Linked DNA regions of Sus scrofa. The protein of the gene in region 2 interacts with the protein of the main gene of each other region in a biochemical or structural test. Links are inferred from orthologs where the notes say so. Each region holds a gene or a part of one and is shown on either strand. Other genes may lie near its edges.

Region 1 (7,227 bases), on a different chromosome or scaffold from region 2:
AAGGATCTCGCGTTGCCATTAGCTGTGGTATAGGTTGCAGATGCGGCTCAGATCTGGCATTGCTGTGGCTGTGGCGTAGGCTGGTGGCTACAGCTTTGATTATTCCTCTAGCCTGGAAATCTCCATATGCCACAGGTGAGGCCCTAGAAAAGAAAAGAAAAAAAAAAAAAGAGAGAGAGAGAGAAAATTCTCCTTAGAGGGGCAGAAAAAGGAATGAGGGTAGACTGAGAACTGTGTGAATTAATATAGATTGTTCCCATCACAAAGGCAGAAACACCAGCTTTGAAATACCGACCAGCTTTTAGGAGAATTATAACAGCAACTGGGGGTGAAAAGCATGTTTGGAGGAAGAAGTGGATGGTCTTGGGTTACCACTTAGATGGTAAACTCTATGCTTTGTGCAGATAGAGTCCATGTCTGCCCTGTTTTCTGCTGTGTCTCAGTGCCCAGTCCAGAGAAAGAACCCCAATATATTTGGTGGGTGACCTTGAGAATAAGAGTATCAGTTTCTTTCATTGTAAAGCAGCAAATCTAAACCATGTCATCCTTAGTCACTTTATAGAAAATTTTACCGGGAGCCAAGTGATCTACATTGTAAGGGAAATATAGTAGACAAAATATCAAGTGTGGAGGCCAGAATACTCCATAATCAGAGGAGGACCTGGGTAAGGTCATTGGTTGTATTTTCTGACCTGTCAAATATGGAAGGTTGGATCAAATCATCTCTGAGTTCAGTTCTCATTTGGCCCACCGCAATGTGACTTTGCAACTCCTCCCCTTCAAAAGAAGAGCTGTGACTTGCTTTGACAAATAGTGTGGTGGAATGAGTACGTGCATGTTCTAAGCCACAATCTCAAGATTCGTTGTGTGATTTTCCTCTCACTCTTGGAAGCCTGCCTCCACCATGTAAATGAGCCCAGGCTAGGCTGCTAAAGGGTGAGAGACACATGGCCCAGTCATTCTCGCCACCCCAGCCAACAGCCAGCCAACTCCAGAAACAGAATCACTTAGCTGAGAAGAAGCTGACTGCAGATACATGAGTGAGCCCAGCTGAGACCAGGAGAAGGCTCCAGCTGACCCTAACTCACATTGTTGAACCAAATAAATCATTTTTTAAAGCCACCAAGTTTAGGTGTGGTTTGTTATGTATCCATAACTAACTGATCCAATTTTCAAATGGAAAATTCAGTGAGTCAATCATCTTTCCCTCCCTTGCACCTTCATACAGAGGGCACATTTTCCAGGAAACTTCCTCTAAGAAAGCATCCAATGTATTGTCTTGATGGTCTATTGTCTGCTTTTGTTTTGGCCACATAATTTCCTGAGTTATTATTCTATTGGCTATTTAAAGAGCTCTAACAGACATAGGATTTAGTCCACACATTATCCCTGGGACCTATTTATTTCTGCCTCAAGCCTTTTCAGATTTAGCTCAGGCCGAGCTACTCATGGCTCTTGATGTTCGCTGAAGAAAACAATGGAATAAGACATGTCAGTCTTTAGTATCTGCACCCCTCTCCTCTGCCAGCCACTGTCCTTGAAGGTGGATAGCACCCTCTTGTTATCTTCTGATGCTCCAGACTATTTGCCATGAACATCAAAGGTCACTTTCATGGCGACCATTCAGATCAGAACTCTGTTCTCTGCATTTCAAGGTAACACCTAGTTATGTAACAGATTAATTCTGCAGTGATGTGGTACATCACAGAAAATCCAGCTCAAAAACTGGTTCGAATGAAAAGGGGGAATTTATTTGTTTCTGTTACTGAAGGGTATTTGGCTTCAGGCATAGCTTTAATTAGGTTTCTATCCTTTTTCCTCTATCAATAATCTCTCTTCTCCTCTGTGTGGCCTTAGTATACAGGCAGGATTTCTTCACGTGGTGATGAAAACGGCTGCTGGGAGCCCAGCACTCCCGTATTTTCCACTGAAAAACTGTAGCACAAAAAGACCTCTCTTTTCCCAGCAGTTTCAGCAAAAGTCTTGAGGCGGATTCTCATTGGCCTCCTTGGGTCACGTACTGTGGCTGAAACTATTACTTTCTCCAGAGGGAATGGCATGTGCTAATTGGCCAAACTGATAACCTGCTAGCCCCCTGGAGAGGAATACAGTGGGAAGTGAGGGGGGTAGTGAACATCGCTCAATCACATGGATCCAGAGAAAGTGGGATTTCTAAGGGAACATCAGGCCCTGTTACTAGAAGGATGTGGGTAGGTGAACCCAGCAGTTATCGTCCCAAGAGTGGTTTTCAATCTCACTGTACATTACAGTCCCTGGGGTCTGGAGGGCAGGGGGTGGGGGTGGGGAGAAACTTTGGAAAACACCTCCAGAAATTGATTTATTCCATCTGAGGTGTCGCCTGGGCCTCAGTATGAGTTTAAGTTCTCCATGAGTAGCTGAGAGAAGGACTGCATTTGGGATATTAAAAGCTAATACAGCCTGATGCTGGGGAATGCCTTGAAGCCTGCAGGTCAAGCTAAAGGTGGGCAGCTCTCAGGGCAGAGTTCTTGACAGTGGAGAAAGGTGGAATCGGTATGGCATAGTCAAGTGGGAGTGGATTGGAGTAGGCAGACAGGAAGCTCTCCTTGCCCCCAATTTGAAGCATATTAGCAACCCCCTGCTGTGTCCCCAAGCTGCCAGCCCTGATGACAACTTTTAAAATTAGGTTTTGAGAAATGTTTCACTCCAAAAAGCCAAAGCATCCACTGTGACACCCTCAATTATAAAATGAAAGGGCTAAGGTCAGCTACCTTGTCAGAGGCCACCTCTCCCCAAGGTCAGAGGTAGGGGACCCTGGAGGGTCCCTGGCATCATTCAGCCTGGTGAGACCCCACTTGACTCCCAGGCCCCCATCAGAGGGAGGTGGAACTGCCATTCGCATCTTTGCTGCGGTGAAATGTTTTCTCCCAGCCAGTCGGAGGAGGCCAATTCTCCTCATCTTGCTAGGGAGGAAAAGTTCTGGCCAATCACAAGAAGCCAACTGGAGACTGCAAAAGTGGGGATGAGATGGCAAAATCTGTTTTTGGAGCTGCGAGAGACACACCTCTCCCTAGCAGAGCTGCCCCAGAAAGCTTGTCGTTAGGCAGCCTCTGGCAGCTGCTCCCCCACCCGGAATGGGTGGGGGTTTCAGAGGCTGCTGGCTGCCTGGTCTCTGTCTCCAGAATTCTACATCTTCAGAGTCTACCCCTTGAACAAAAACACGATGTGGGTTTTTTCCATGAACTTTCATTTTGGGGGGGAAATCAGGAGGGGAGAAAGCTCAGGGAGAGGTGGTGGGGTGCAGCAGGTAGGGTAAGGGACTGGAAATCCAAGCCCCAACACCTCTGTTCCTATCCTGTCTTCCTCGACTTGGGCACATGAGAATCCTTGAACCTCAATTTCCTCATCTGTAAAATGGGTTCCTAGATGTGCCTGAGAATCTTCCAGGCCCTGCAAATTCTCCAGTTATGATAAGGAAGGAAGGGGCCACCAGCCTGCTTTGCTTTGGGGGCAATTGTTGGTTGGGGCTGAGTAACTGAGCTTTTATGACCCCCACCCCATTTTTAAGAGTAAGAGACATCCCCCCTTTTCTCTTGGTCCTTTCCTTCCATCCTGATTACTATCACTGTCACTCTAGGAGCATAAACATTGGGGAGGATGCTCGAGGTGTGTGAGGGGTCGCCAAGCCCCCACACCTCCAAACGATGACTTTTAATTCCAGTTTTACCAAGAGAGATGGTCTGCGCTTCTGCAGATACAGAGACTCGAAGCCGCTTCCGTTTTTGCTCTTCTCTCCCGTCTCTCACCCCCCTCCCTCCGCCTTCCTTCCACTGCTGTTTACTGATCGCCCAAGTCGTGATGACGTGCCAGGCACGATGCCAAGTGAGAGGGCCCCCGAATGCATCAGGGGGTGGATTAGAAAGCTCTGCCCTGGCGGAGCCTCCCGGGGCAGACGTGGAAATAAACAAACAGTGACAGCATCGCGCCCCGAGGGCTCCCGCGGAAATGAGCATGGGCTGTTTGGAAAGCCCACACGACGACCCCCGACCCAGGAGAGGCCCGCCCGGCGCGCCTCGCCCCCGCTGCAGATGGCAGGGGGCGGGGGAGGCCTGGCGGCAGCCCCGCGGGTACCGCAGTGAGTCAGGAGCCCGCCTCCCATCCTGCGCGCACCAGCGAATCCCCGCCGCCCAGCTCAGCCCGGCCTGCGCAGCGCCTCCGCCCACCCCTCCTTGCCTCGCGTCTTCTGCTCGCGGGGGTGGGTGGGGATTGGGGGGAATCTGTCTCCCCGACCTTCCATCGCGGCCTGGAGCCGTGGCCACTGGAGAGAGGCCAAGGGGTGCGAATACCTGCCCTGCAGAAGGGAGGCGATGGCCGAGCTGCAGTGTTCCTTGGCATCTGGAACGTTGCCTGGGAAAAGGAAGGAAACAGAACCGGTGAAGTGACTCAGGATTCTTGGAGTGGCTAGGAGGCACGGGTGCAGAGGGCTGATTCCAGAAGGAGCGGTGGGAGGCAAGAGGCCTAATGGGTCTCTAAATCTCAGAGGGATCCTGCCCCAACCTTAGCTTGATTTTTTTTTTTTTTTTTTTTTTTTTGTAGAAGAGTAGAAATGCACTTAAAAAGTATATCTCTAAAAATACCAAACTGATGTTATTTGGGTGAATTCACACCAAGCAGATGACCCAGAAAAAGGAGTAAGATCCTGATGTCTTCAGCATGCGCAGAATAATCACTCTGCTGGGCTCAGGCCAAATGCCTTAAGCCCATTGGCCTTTCCGGATGACCTTTTGGGAAGGAAGGCTGGTGGCTGGATGGAAATGAAGCACAGCAAACGGGTTCCATTTATATCAGGAACCACCCAAAAGCGGCCATCTTCAAAAGGCCACTCTGAGCTCCAGGGGCTGCAGGGAGGTTACCAGTTCCCTTAGGAGCTTCTGGGGGCTGGGCTCTGTCCTTCCCCCATAGGCTAATGGCAGAGGGATAGCACTGCCCTGGGCCTCTGGGATGAAAGAGCTACCCCAGCCTAGCTGTGCCGCTACCAAGATGGGCTGTGATTTGTTCCACAAAGCCTGTGACTTGGCATCTCAGTGCATAGAGGGCCAGAGGGAAGCCATCTTTGTTTCTCTTGCCTGCTCCACTTTGCTTCCAGATGAGAAGACTGTCCTTCTTTAAAAAGCAGCCAAAGTCATGCTTCTAGAAATTAAGCCAGAGAGTACTGTCACCTGCTAATCCCAAGTCATTACAAAGCCTACAGGCCCTCCAAAATCGGCTCCTGTTACCATGCACCTCCTCCCTTTCCACTTTTCCCCCTCATTCTATCTGTTCCAGCCACCCTGGCCTCTTCCTTTTCCTTGAACACACCAGAGCACATCCCTACCTTTGTGCATGCTGTCCCTTCCACCTGGAACTCTCTTCCCCTAGACATTTATTTCACTCTGATCGAAAGACCACCCTATCCAAAATAGCATCCTGTCCACTGCACCTGTACTGTCTGTCTTCATAAACCTCCTTACTGTTTTCATGTCCTTATTACATGTTTATTTATCTGTTTATCATACATCTCCCCTAGAACATGAGTTCTCTGAGGGCAAGATCTTTGTCTGGTTGGTTATTCTACTAACAGTGCCTGGCACACTGTAGGTGCTCAAATAAATATTTGTGGGAAGAACAAGGTCAAGATTGGCCAAGGAATTTGCTCAGCTTCTCACATTTAGTGAACAGCTAGGAGCTGAGCCCCTTACCTCCTCCTGACCTAGAACTTTTCTAGTACTAGTCTCATGCTCAAGCTGGTATTTTAGAAATGATCTCAATGTGAAATCAGGCTGCACAATGGCTATTGAGTAAGCTGGACACCTTCTCAAGATGCTGTTTTTAAGGTTCCCCCGAAAGCCCAAGTGCCCCATCACTCTGGAATGTAAATATTTATAAAGGAGGTAAGTTCCAATAGATGTTGAGTGATTTATGATGCCGTGCTAACCTTTGGTCTTTCCCGACTTTTCTTCTTTCACCACCTTTGAAGCCTTGGCTGGAAGCCAAGGTTTAAAGCCAGTAGGGCCTTTGTGCTAAATCTCATCGTACCACTAAGTCTGGAGTTATTTTTGGAGGGGAGAGTCCTACAAACTGAACCTAGAATCATAAGATCTGTATCATTGCATTGGAATATGGCTAATGGTCATCTGGGCAAAGATGAGCCTTCTAAGTGGTTCAGTCTTCTTGGGGTTGTTTTTTGATGCCATACCCACTAGTTCCTTTTCTTAGCAATTGCTTATTTTCTCTTTTAAGTTTGAATATTATAAAGGATGTCCAAGAATTTCAGCAGTGCTGGTACTTTTTAAAATAACATGATGCAAAGAAATAATTCTGAGTTGGAGACAGGAAAACTGGGTTTGCATTTTGATTGCTCTGTATTCTACCTCTGTGACTCTCTTTGTGTTCCAAGTCCTCATTTGAACAGGTAGGGCTGTACTGTCCACGTGAGAGCACTGTGGTGAAGGTCAGATGAGTTATTGTGGAATAAATTGATTTGTAGGTGGTACAGCACTGGGTACTTCCCTGCCCAGCATGAAGCTCTTAGAAAGAATATTAAAAAGAAAATTGAGACTCAAAGTCCATCTTTCTGGAGTTACAGTCATGGTGGGAGCTGTGTACAAAATACAGTTAATACACATTAAGAAAGCAGTTGAGAGCTGAAATGGAATACCTGCAGGTATCGAGGTCACTGTGCCAGAGACTGGTGTTGGGGGGTTGTGATCAATGAGCAAATTGGGAAGTGTGTGATGGCTGAATCATAGGGCTGGAACCATGGAACAAGTGGGAGTGGGAGGAACCAGACAATGAATGCCATTTGATCAAACTGACATGAAACAGATACTGGAAGAATGGAGGGGGTAGGACAGGGCCTAGTTCCTGTCCTCTTTTCATTTAGCAAATATTCTTGGGTGCTAACCAGGTGTTAGACATGGTCTTACCATCATCTCCAGGAAACACCAGGGAATTGATGAATAGCCATATCCTTCTTGTAAGTGGGCTACTATTGGTACACCATACCCCTCCTCTATCCCACACCCCACCCCAGTTTTGAGCCATTGATTAGAGAACTAGGGGATTTGAACCTCCTGAACTCCAAGAAAAGCATATAACTTTTTATAGCTGGAAGGCTGATGCAGGTTTCTAGGGAGACAGAAGAATGGATTTTCTGGGGTTTGATGATGCTTCCAACAATCTGAAATGGCAGGATCAAACTAGTTAAAA
Region 2 (7,394 bases):
CCATTTTTTACACGAGGAAACTGAGGCATAGAGAGGTTAAGTATTTGGCCTCACAGAGTTTTATGGCAGGTGAATGAGCTGCAATTCCTGCACAGGTCATCCAGCCCCAGTGTTGGTAGGAAGGGGACCTGCCAAAGGAGGGGGCAGGACAAGCTGCCGAGTGCCAAAATCAAGTAGAGTGTGAGTTCCTGTTGTGGCTTAGTGGGTTAAGATCCCGATTAGTATCCATGAGGATGCGGGTTCAATCCCTGGCCTAGCTCAGGGGGTTAAGGATCCGATGTTGCTGTGAGCTGTGGTATAGGTCACAGGAATGGCTTGGATCCTGAATTGCTGTGGCTGTGGCTGTGGCCGGCAGGTACAGCTCCGAGTCAACACCTGGGAACTTCCATATGCAGAAGGTGTGGCCCTAAAAAGCAAAAAAAAAAAAAAAAAAAAAAAAAATCAAGTAAAGTGTGACTTTCACATAAACTGAAAGGAAAATACCCCCCAACACCCACACGTTCAAGGCCCAATATTCTTTTTTTTTTTTTTTTTTGTCTTTTTGTCTTTTTAGGGCCACACTAGTGGCATATGGAGGTTCCCAGGCTAGGGGTCGAATCAGAGCTGTAGCTGCTGGCCTACACCACAGCCACAGCAATTCCAGATCCGAGCCTCATCTGAGACCTACACCACAGCTCATGGCAACACTGGAACCTTAGAGATGCCAGGGATGGAACCCACAACCTCACGGTTCCTAGTTGGATTTGTTTTCACTGCGCCATGCCGGGAACTCCAAGGACCAATATTCTTAATGCACACTTCAAGGCTGCTCAGAGGACCTGAGAGGAGTCAAAAAGGACCATGAAACAGAGAGAAAGGCTCAGTTCTGGAAAGCTCCATTCCCAGAACCATTCTTCCTGGATGGCCCCTGCTCCTCATCTCCTCCACACACCACTCCCCGAGGCTTTGAGCCCAGCCTCTGACGGCCTCAAGTCACCGTCCCAAAGCCCTGCGGTCCCACCCAGAAGAGACCACAAATGAAAGGACGACCATCATAATCCTGGGAAATTTAACAAAGGCACCAACAAATCCACACCATAAGGCGGAGAGAGGTAGGTGGGACTGGTGGGCCCAGAGAGACCTGGAACTCATAGTAATAAAAGCCTGCAGAGGGAAGAACCCTTACCAGTTTATAAGAACCTTTCATGTACTTCCTAACTCCCCTGATATTGCTCAACTCTTAGCTTAGGCAAGACAGAAATGACCAGATCAAGTTGTCAATGGAGATAAGTTCCAGAGAGGGGCAATAAATGACTCAAGATCGCACACTGAACTAGGAGTTAGATGTCCGAAAGCCCTTCCAGTGTACCACGCAGAGACAGGGCCAGAGGGGTGCCAGGGAGGAGGGGCAGGGAGGCAGAGGCTGATGGGAAAGACCCAAGAGCAGACCTGCTCTTCCTCATGAGTTCCGGGGAACTCCACGGGCAGGGTTTGGCCTCCTGAACCCTCCTTCTTCCCTCGGTTGATCAGGGTAGCACTGTCTTCACTTCTTCATTCCCAACCCTGGGTGAGCTGGATTCTAAAGGGAAGAGGAGAAGGATCAAAGCCTTTTACATAGAATGAGACAGCTAGCACTTTTGACAATTTCTAACCTCTGTCACTGAACTTCAGCGCAGGGAATGCCCATAAAGACTAGCTCTCCCCCCACCCCGCCACTGCCACCCATTGTAGAGATGGAAGACTAAGGCCCAGAGATAGGAAGTGACTTTCCAGGAGTTCCTGTCGTGGCTCAGTGGAAACGAATTCCACCAGGAACCGTGAGGTTGTGGGTTCCATCCCTGGCCTCGCTCAGTGGGTTAAGGATCCGGCATTTCTGTGAACTGTGGTGAAGATCACAGATGCGGCTCGGATCTGTCATTGCTGTGGCTCTGGCGTAGGCCAGTGGCTACAGCTCTGATTAGACCCCTAACCCGGGAACTTCCATATGTTTGGGGTGTGGCCCTAAAAAGGACAAAAGACAAAAAAAAAAAAAGTGACTTTCCAGGAGTTCCTGCTGTGGCACAACAGGACCGATGGTGTCCCTGGCGAGCTCGATGCAGGTATGATCCCCAGCCCAGAGGAGTGGGTTAAGAATCTGGAGTTGCCAGATTTTCCAGAAGTCCACAGCAACTCAGTCACAGAAATCTAGGTTTCCTTATCGGGGCTTAGTAGAGAAGGGCCTTTCCTTCCTTTGCTTGACCTTCATATAAGTTCCTCGGGGAGAGCCCTGGGATCCAGGAGTCTTAGATCAGTCCTAGCCATCCTGGCTATGGGGAGACCCAGTGGCCTTGGGGCCTCCTCCTACAGAATGTAGATTTCAAAAAGCATAAGTCATTCTTCTCTGTTGGGCCGGGATGTAATTCTGGCCCTAGAAGAGCATTCTGCTCATAATAAGTGCCTAATGAATATCCACTGAATGAATGAACCTCTAGAGGGTCAGGTTTTGGGAAGTGTCACGATGAAAGCCTGAAGCCTAAAAGAGAGGACTAGGGAACCACACGCGTCATCTTCAGACATAGGAAAGGCTAAAGTTCTGTCCACAAATATTTACTGAGGGCCCACTAGGTGTTGGGATTCGGGTGAGAACCACACAATCACGCCTTCACCTCAAGCAATCACAGGTCACAGTAATGCGGAATTGTTTCTTTTTTGTGTCCTTCAGAGGGTAAACCCTGGTGCAAGGTGGGGGCGAAGGGGTGTAGGTGATATGCTGCTCAACATAATGGACTCTTTTCTCAGCCTGAGCTGTCCTGAAATGGTCTCACTGCTCAGAAGGTGGTGAGTGCGGCGGGACTGCAGTGTTCAAGCCGGGCGCCAGCCGCCCACCTGTCAGAAGCTGTGCCAGGAGTATGCGGGAGAAGAGCTTTCCGCCTCGGGTGAGGTCACTTCCCACCCCCAGATACTCTGCCTACAAACCCTGCAACTCTCTGACGCCGGATCTTATTCTTTTCCGAATTTCAAGGTCTCATGATGTGGACAGCCCCAAATTCTAAGTCGTCAATCTGCCCACACCCCCGGAACCCAAAAGGAATAAAGCCGAATTCAGCCAGGGTCCTACCACCCTCTGTCTCAAAAGATGTCTGGGGGTAGTCGGCGCCCCCTCCCGACTTGTGGGAGCCAGGGTGCCGAGGACGTCGTGGGGAGCTAGGTGTCCCGGAGACCGAGTTGACAGAGTGGAGACACGTGACAGTCAGAGCATCACGTTCTAAGGTCCAAGAGGCTGGGACCGGGCCAGTCACGTGACGCGGGGGGGGCGCCATGGGGTGATGTGAGATGCTGGGTCCCTAGATTACGTACCAATGACGCATTTCCACCTCTTTTGGCAACTAGATTTCCGTTGGAAGATGCGATAGTTCCGGCAAAGGGGGCGGGTTCTCACGTCCTGGCAATTTTGCTTCCGTTCGGGGAGCTGGCGCTTCCGACCTCCGCCTTTCCCTCGGGCGGGGAAGGGACGCGGTGCGGTGCGCATGCTCCAGTCATCCCAGAGGGGGCGGGGCTGAAGCTACGGGAGCGGGAGGGGGGTAAGAAAAGGGAGTTCCAACCTGTGGAAACTTGGGGGTCCCCGAGGTCGGCTCCTTGTCCTCGACGGTGGATGGTGTCAGGGATAGAGCCTCTGGCGGCTCGTGGGGGGCGGTTAGGGGTCCACAGGGTGAGGGCAGAGAGAAGTGTCAAGAGAGTGAGTGGGGTACAGGAGTTCCAAACTTAGAATCTCGAGGCCCTCTGGGCTCCCGCGCCGGGGAGAGGGAGCTCGGGCCGCCATGCGGGACAGGACCCACGAACTGAGACAGGTGAGAAGTCCGGCGCAGCGGGGTTGGGACAGGAGGACGGGGTAGGGTCTAGTTGGAATGCAGGACTCCTGGTCTTCGGGGCAGGGCAGGGAGGGGTAGCTGTGGGATTGGAAGACCCGGAAGCCCGTGAATCCCGCGGGGCGAAAGCAACAGCAAGGAAGTGATGCCAATGACCCCGGCCCTGTCAGGGAGATGACAGCTCTGACGATGAGGACAAGGAGAGGGTCGCGCTGGTGGTACACCCGGGCACGGCACGGCTGGGCAGCCCAGACGATGAGTTCTTCCAGAAGGTAAGAGGCTGGGGTCTCGGTCTGGATTCACGAGGGGGCTGGATGACCCGAGGTGCAGAGCGGTCTGGAGGACTCCCATATCTGCTTCAGCCCTCTCGGTCATCCTCCCCAGGTCCGGACAATTCGGCAGACTATTGTCAAGCTGGAGAATAAGGTCCGAGAGTTGGAGAAGCAGCAGGTCACCATCCTGGCCACGCCCCTTCCCGAGGAAAGTGAGTGAAATCGCGAGTGCAGAACGCATGCTCAGTCAGAGGGATTGTGGGGATGGTAGTTCCATGCAGGTGGTGGCCAGGGAGATTTGTTGAGGTAGGGGCCGTGCTTTGGGCATCATGGCTTTTTCTTGTTCAGGCATGAAGCAGGACCTGCAGAACCTGCGTGACGAGATCAAACAGCTGGGGAGGGACATCCGCGCAGAGCTCAAGGGTGAGCGTCTAGGAACTCAGATAGATACTTTGCTCTGATCCTGCCCAATGCCTGATATATCCGCGAGTGTGTGACCCAGAGAGGCCAGTGATATATAACCAGACCACACAGCAGGCCTGTGTCTCGAATCTCCATCTCCTGGCTTCCAGTCCAAAGTTCTTTCCACAGCGCAGGCCTGCCTCTCAGGTTCCCTTATTTACAATGAAACCATTTACATTTGACCCTTGACCAAGGTGGAGATTAGTGTGGCCACTGGCCCGCCCCCAGTCATAATCTGCAAACAATTCATGGTCCGCCCACCATATCCCAGGTTCTTCGTGGGTGGATTCACCAAAACGTGGAATGTGCAGTGGTGTATTCTGCATTTATTTTCTAAAAATCCAGGTGTAAGTGGATCCACACAGTTCAAACCCATGCTGTGCTAGGATCAATTGTGCTCCTACAATTCCTCCTGCCTAGGGTGCATCCTTGGTGCAAACAGATGACAGTTTTGTTCGGAGGCCTTTGCATACCTGTGGGAATTCTCTGGTATACTTATTTGCAAAGGAAAGTATACTTTCACCTGTCAGAGCCTCAGAATATCATTTTATGATCAATTCTATTTCCCCCAAAACATCCTATGGAGATTAACAGCTCTCTATTGTATGGCCAGGCAGCTGGGGTCCTAAGTCCCCAAATGAATTTCAGAAGCCACAGGTCAAACCCTTTCCTCTGCCAATACCCTTATATCTTCCCACAGCCATAGAGCCCCAGAAGGAGGAAGCCGATGAGAATTATAACTCGGTCAACACAAGAATGAGAAAAACCCAGGTGGGTTCATTATTCCCAGAACTAGGACATTTCAACAAGTGTTTTCTAGATAAATAGCTGGCAGATGTAAGAAGGAAGGGTGCCTAGAGATCCTTGGGTCCAGCCTGATGATGTTCCAAATGGGGAAACTGAGGCTCCGAGAGAAAAAGGACTCACTTAAGGTCAAGAACCCAGGTCTCCTAACTTCCAGTCCATTATAACATCCTGCCTGCTTCTTCTCCACTCAATGAGAAGTTGCTGAGATCCCAGACATGCTCTGGGCTCAGCTGTAGGAGATACACTTTCTAGAAGCCAAGAGGGGGAGTTAAGCTTGAATAGATGATAAAGACATAACTCAGGAAGGACTTGGCAGCTAATGGCTCTGCCCAGGGAAGAAGAGGGCCCAGTCAAATGACTGGGAGGTTCCCTGCCCATGTGACAGGGACATCCTCTGCTCCAGAGGCCGAAATCAAGAAGTCAGGAAGAGAAGAAGTTCCCGTCATGGCGCAGTGGAAATGACTCCGACTGGGAACCATGAGGTTGTGGGTTTGATCCCTGGCCTTGCTCAGTGGGTTAAGGATCCGGTGTTCTCATGAGCTGTGGTATAGGTCACAGACGTGGCTCAGATCTGGCGTTGCTGTGGCTGTGGTGTAGGCTGGCAGCTGTAGTTCCGATTAGAACCCTAGCCTGGGAACCTCCATGTGCTGCGGGTGCAGCCCTAAAAAGCCAAAAAAAAAAAAAAAAAAAAAAAGAAGTTAGGAAGAGGAACTTCTGGGGGTGGGGTATGGGGGGAAGGTCACTGAGTCACCATCTTTGTAAGGAGAGTTGAGGTCTGACCAGCCTCCTCTTGGTGCCCAGTGGGGAGGGGTTTTGCATACTTAGAGCTCAGAGTTGGAATAGGTGGGCCCAGAGCTCAGCAAAGACCCCAGATTGAAGACGAAACAGTTTGGGCATCTTGAAAGGGTGCAGCTGAAGCCGGGAGAGCAGCTGTGTCTCTGAGGAAATCCAAGGAATGAGCACATTTTATTTTTTTATTTTTGTGTCTTTTTAGGGCCACACCCACAGCATGTGGAAGTTCCCAGACTAGGGGTCAAATCAGAGCTATAGCTACCATCCTACACCACAGCCACAGCAACCCCAGAGCCATGCCGTGTCTTTGACCTATACCACAGCTCACAGCAATGCCAGCTCTTTAACCCAGTGAGCAAGGCCAGGGACCGAACCCACGTCCTCATGGATACTAGGCGGGTTCTTAACCGTTGAGCCACAACAGGAACTCCAGGTGTGAGCACATTTTACTTATATTTATTTATTTATTTATTTTGTCTTTTTGCCTTTTCTAGGGCTGCTTCCCACGGCATATGGAGGTTCCCAGGCTAGGGGTCTAATCGGAGCTGTAGCCACTGGCCTACACCACAGCCACAGCAATGTGGGAAATGAGCCACATCTGCAACCTATACCACAGCTCATGGCAATGCTGGATCCTTAACCCACTGAGCAAGGCCAGGGACTGAACCCGCAACCTCATGGTTCCTTGTCGGATTCGTTAACCACTGCGCCACGACGGGAACTCCAAGCACATTTTAGACACTGAGGAATGGACAAGGTGAGAGGGCGTTTCAGGGGGAGGTTATGGTGGTCGCTGGTGTGAGAGGCTGGAGTGGACCTGTGAAGTCTGGGCAATCACTGGACCTCCAGGTATACCTGGCCCACCTCTAGTCTAAGCCGTGAGGCTGGTGTTCAGCAAGCATTCAACACCTATTTATTAAGGGTCTACTGTGTGAGGGCCTTTTCTAGCTGTTTGTGAACCAAAGACCCCAATCCTCGCGGAGCTTACATTCTGGTAGGAGAGAGAAGCACCATAATAAATCAGGAAGTTATTTCAGAACATAGGGTGGGTTAAGGGACCAGAGCAGGAGAAGAGGGATTGAGAACACTAGGAGAAGGCAAGTAGCAATTGCAATAAGGCAGAGAAAACTCTGTTCACAAGGTGATATTGAGGGAGTTCCCCTTGTGGTTCAGCGGTAATGAACCCGACTAGTATTCATGAGGATGCAGGTTCGATCCCTGGCCTCCCTTGGTGGAT

The links. The genes of interacting proteins can lie anywhere in the genome.
Region 1: the proteins of STX4 (region 2) and SNAP25 form a complex in vitro, tested with the Homo sapiens proteins (3 studies listed by BioGRID). The link is inferred for Sus scrofa from reciprocal best matches to the Homo sapiens genes STX4 and SNAP25.

What each region holds. Positions count from the first base shown.
Region 1 is NC_010459.5:19,093,393-19,100,619, reverse strand, and holds the start of SNAP25 (synaptosomal-associated protein 25), read right to left. Parts: upstream 4,506-7,227; 5' UTR 4,326-4,505; intron 1-4,325.
Region 2 is NC_010445.4:17,427,141-17,434,534, reverse strand, and holds the start of STX4 (syntaxin-4), read left to right. Parts: upstream 1-3,157; 5' UTR 3,158-3,776; coding exon 3,777-3,806; intron 3,807-3,994; coding exon 3,995-4,096; intron 4,097-4,208; coding exon 4,209-4,308; intron 4,309-4,444; coding exon 4,445-4,519; intron 4,520-5,258; coding exon 5,259-5,329; intron 5,330-7,394. UniProt on the Homo sapiens protein: Plasma membrane t-SNARE that mediates docking of transport vesicles. Necessary for the translocation of SLC2A4 from intracellular vesicles to the plasma membrane.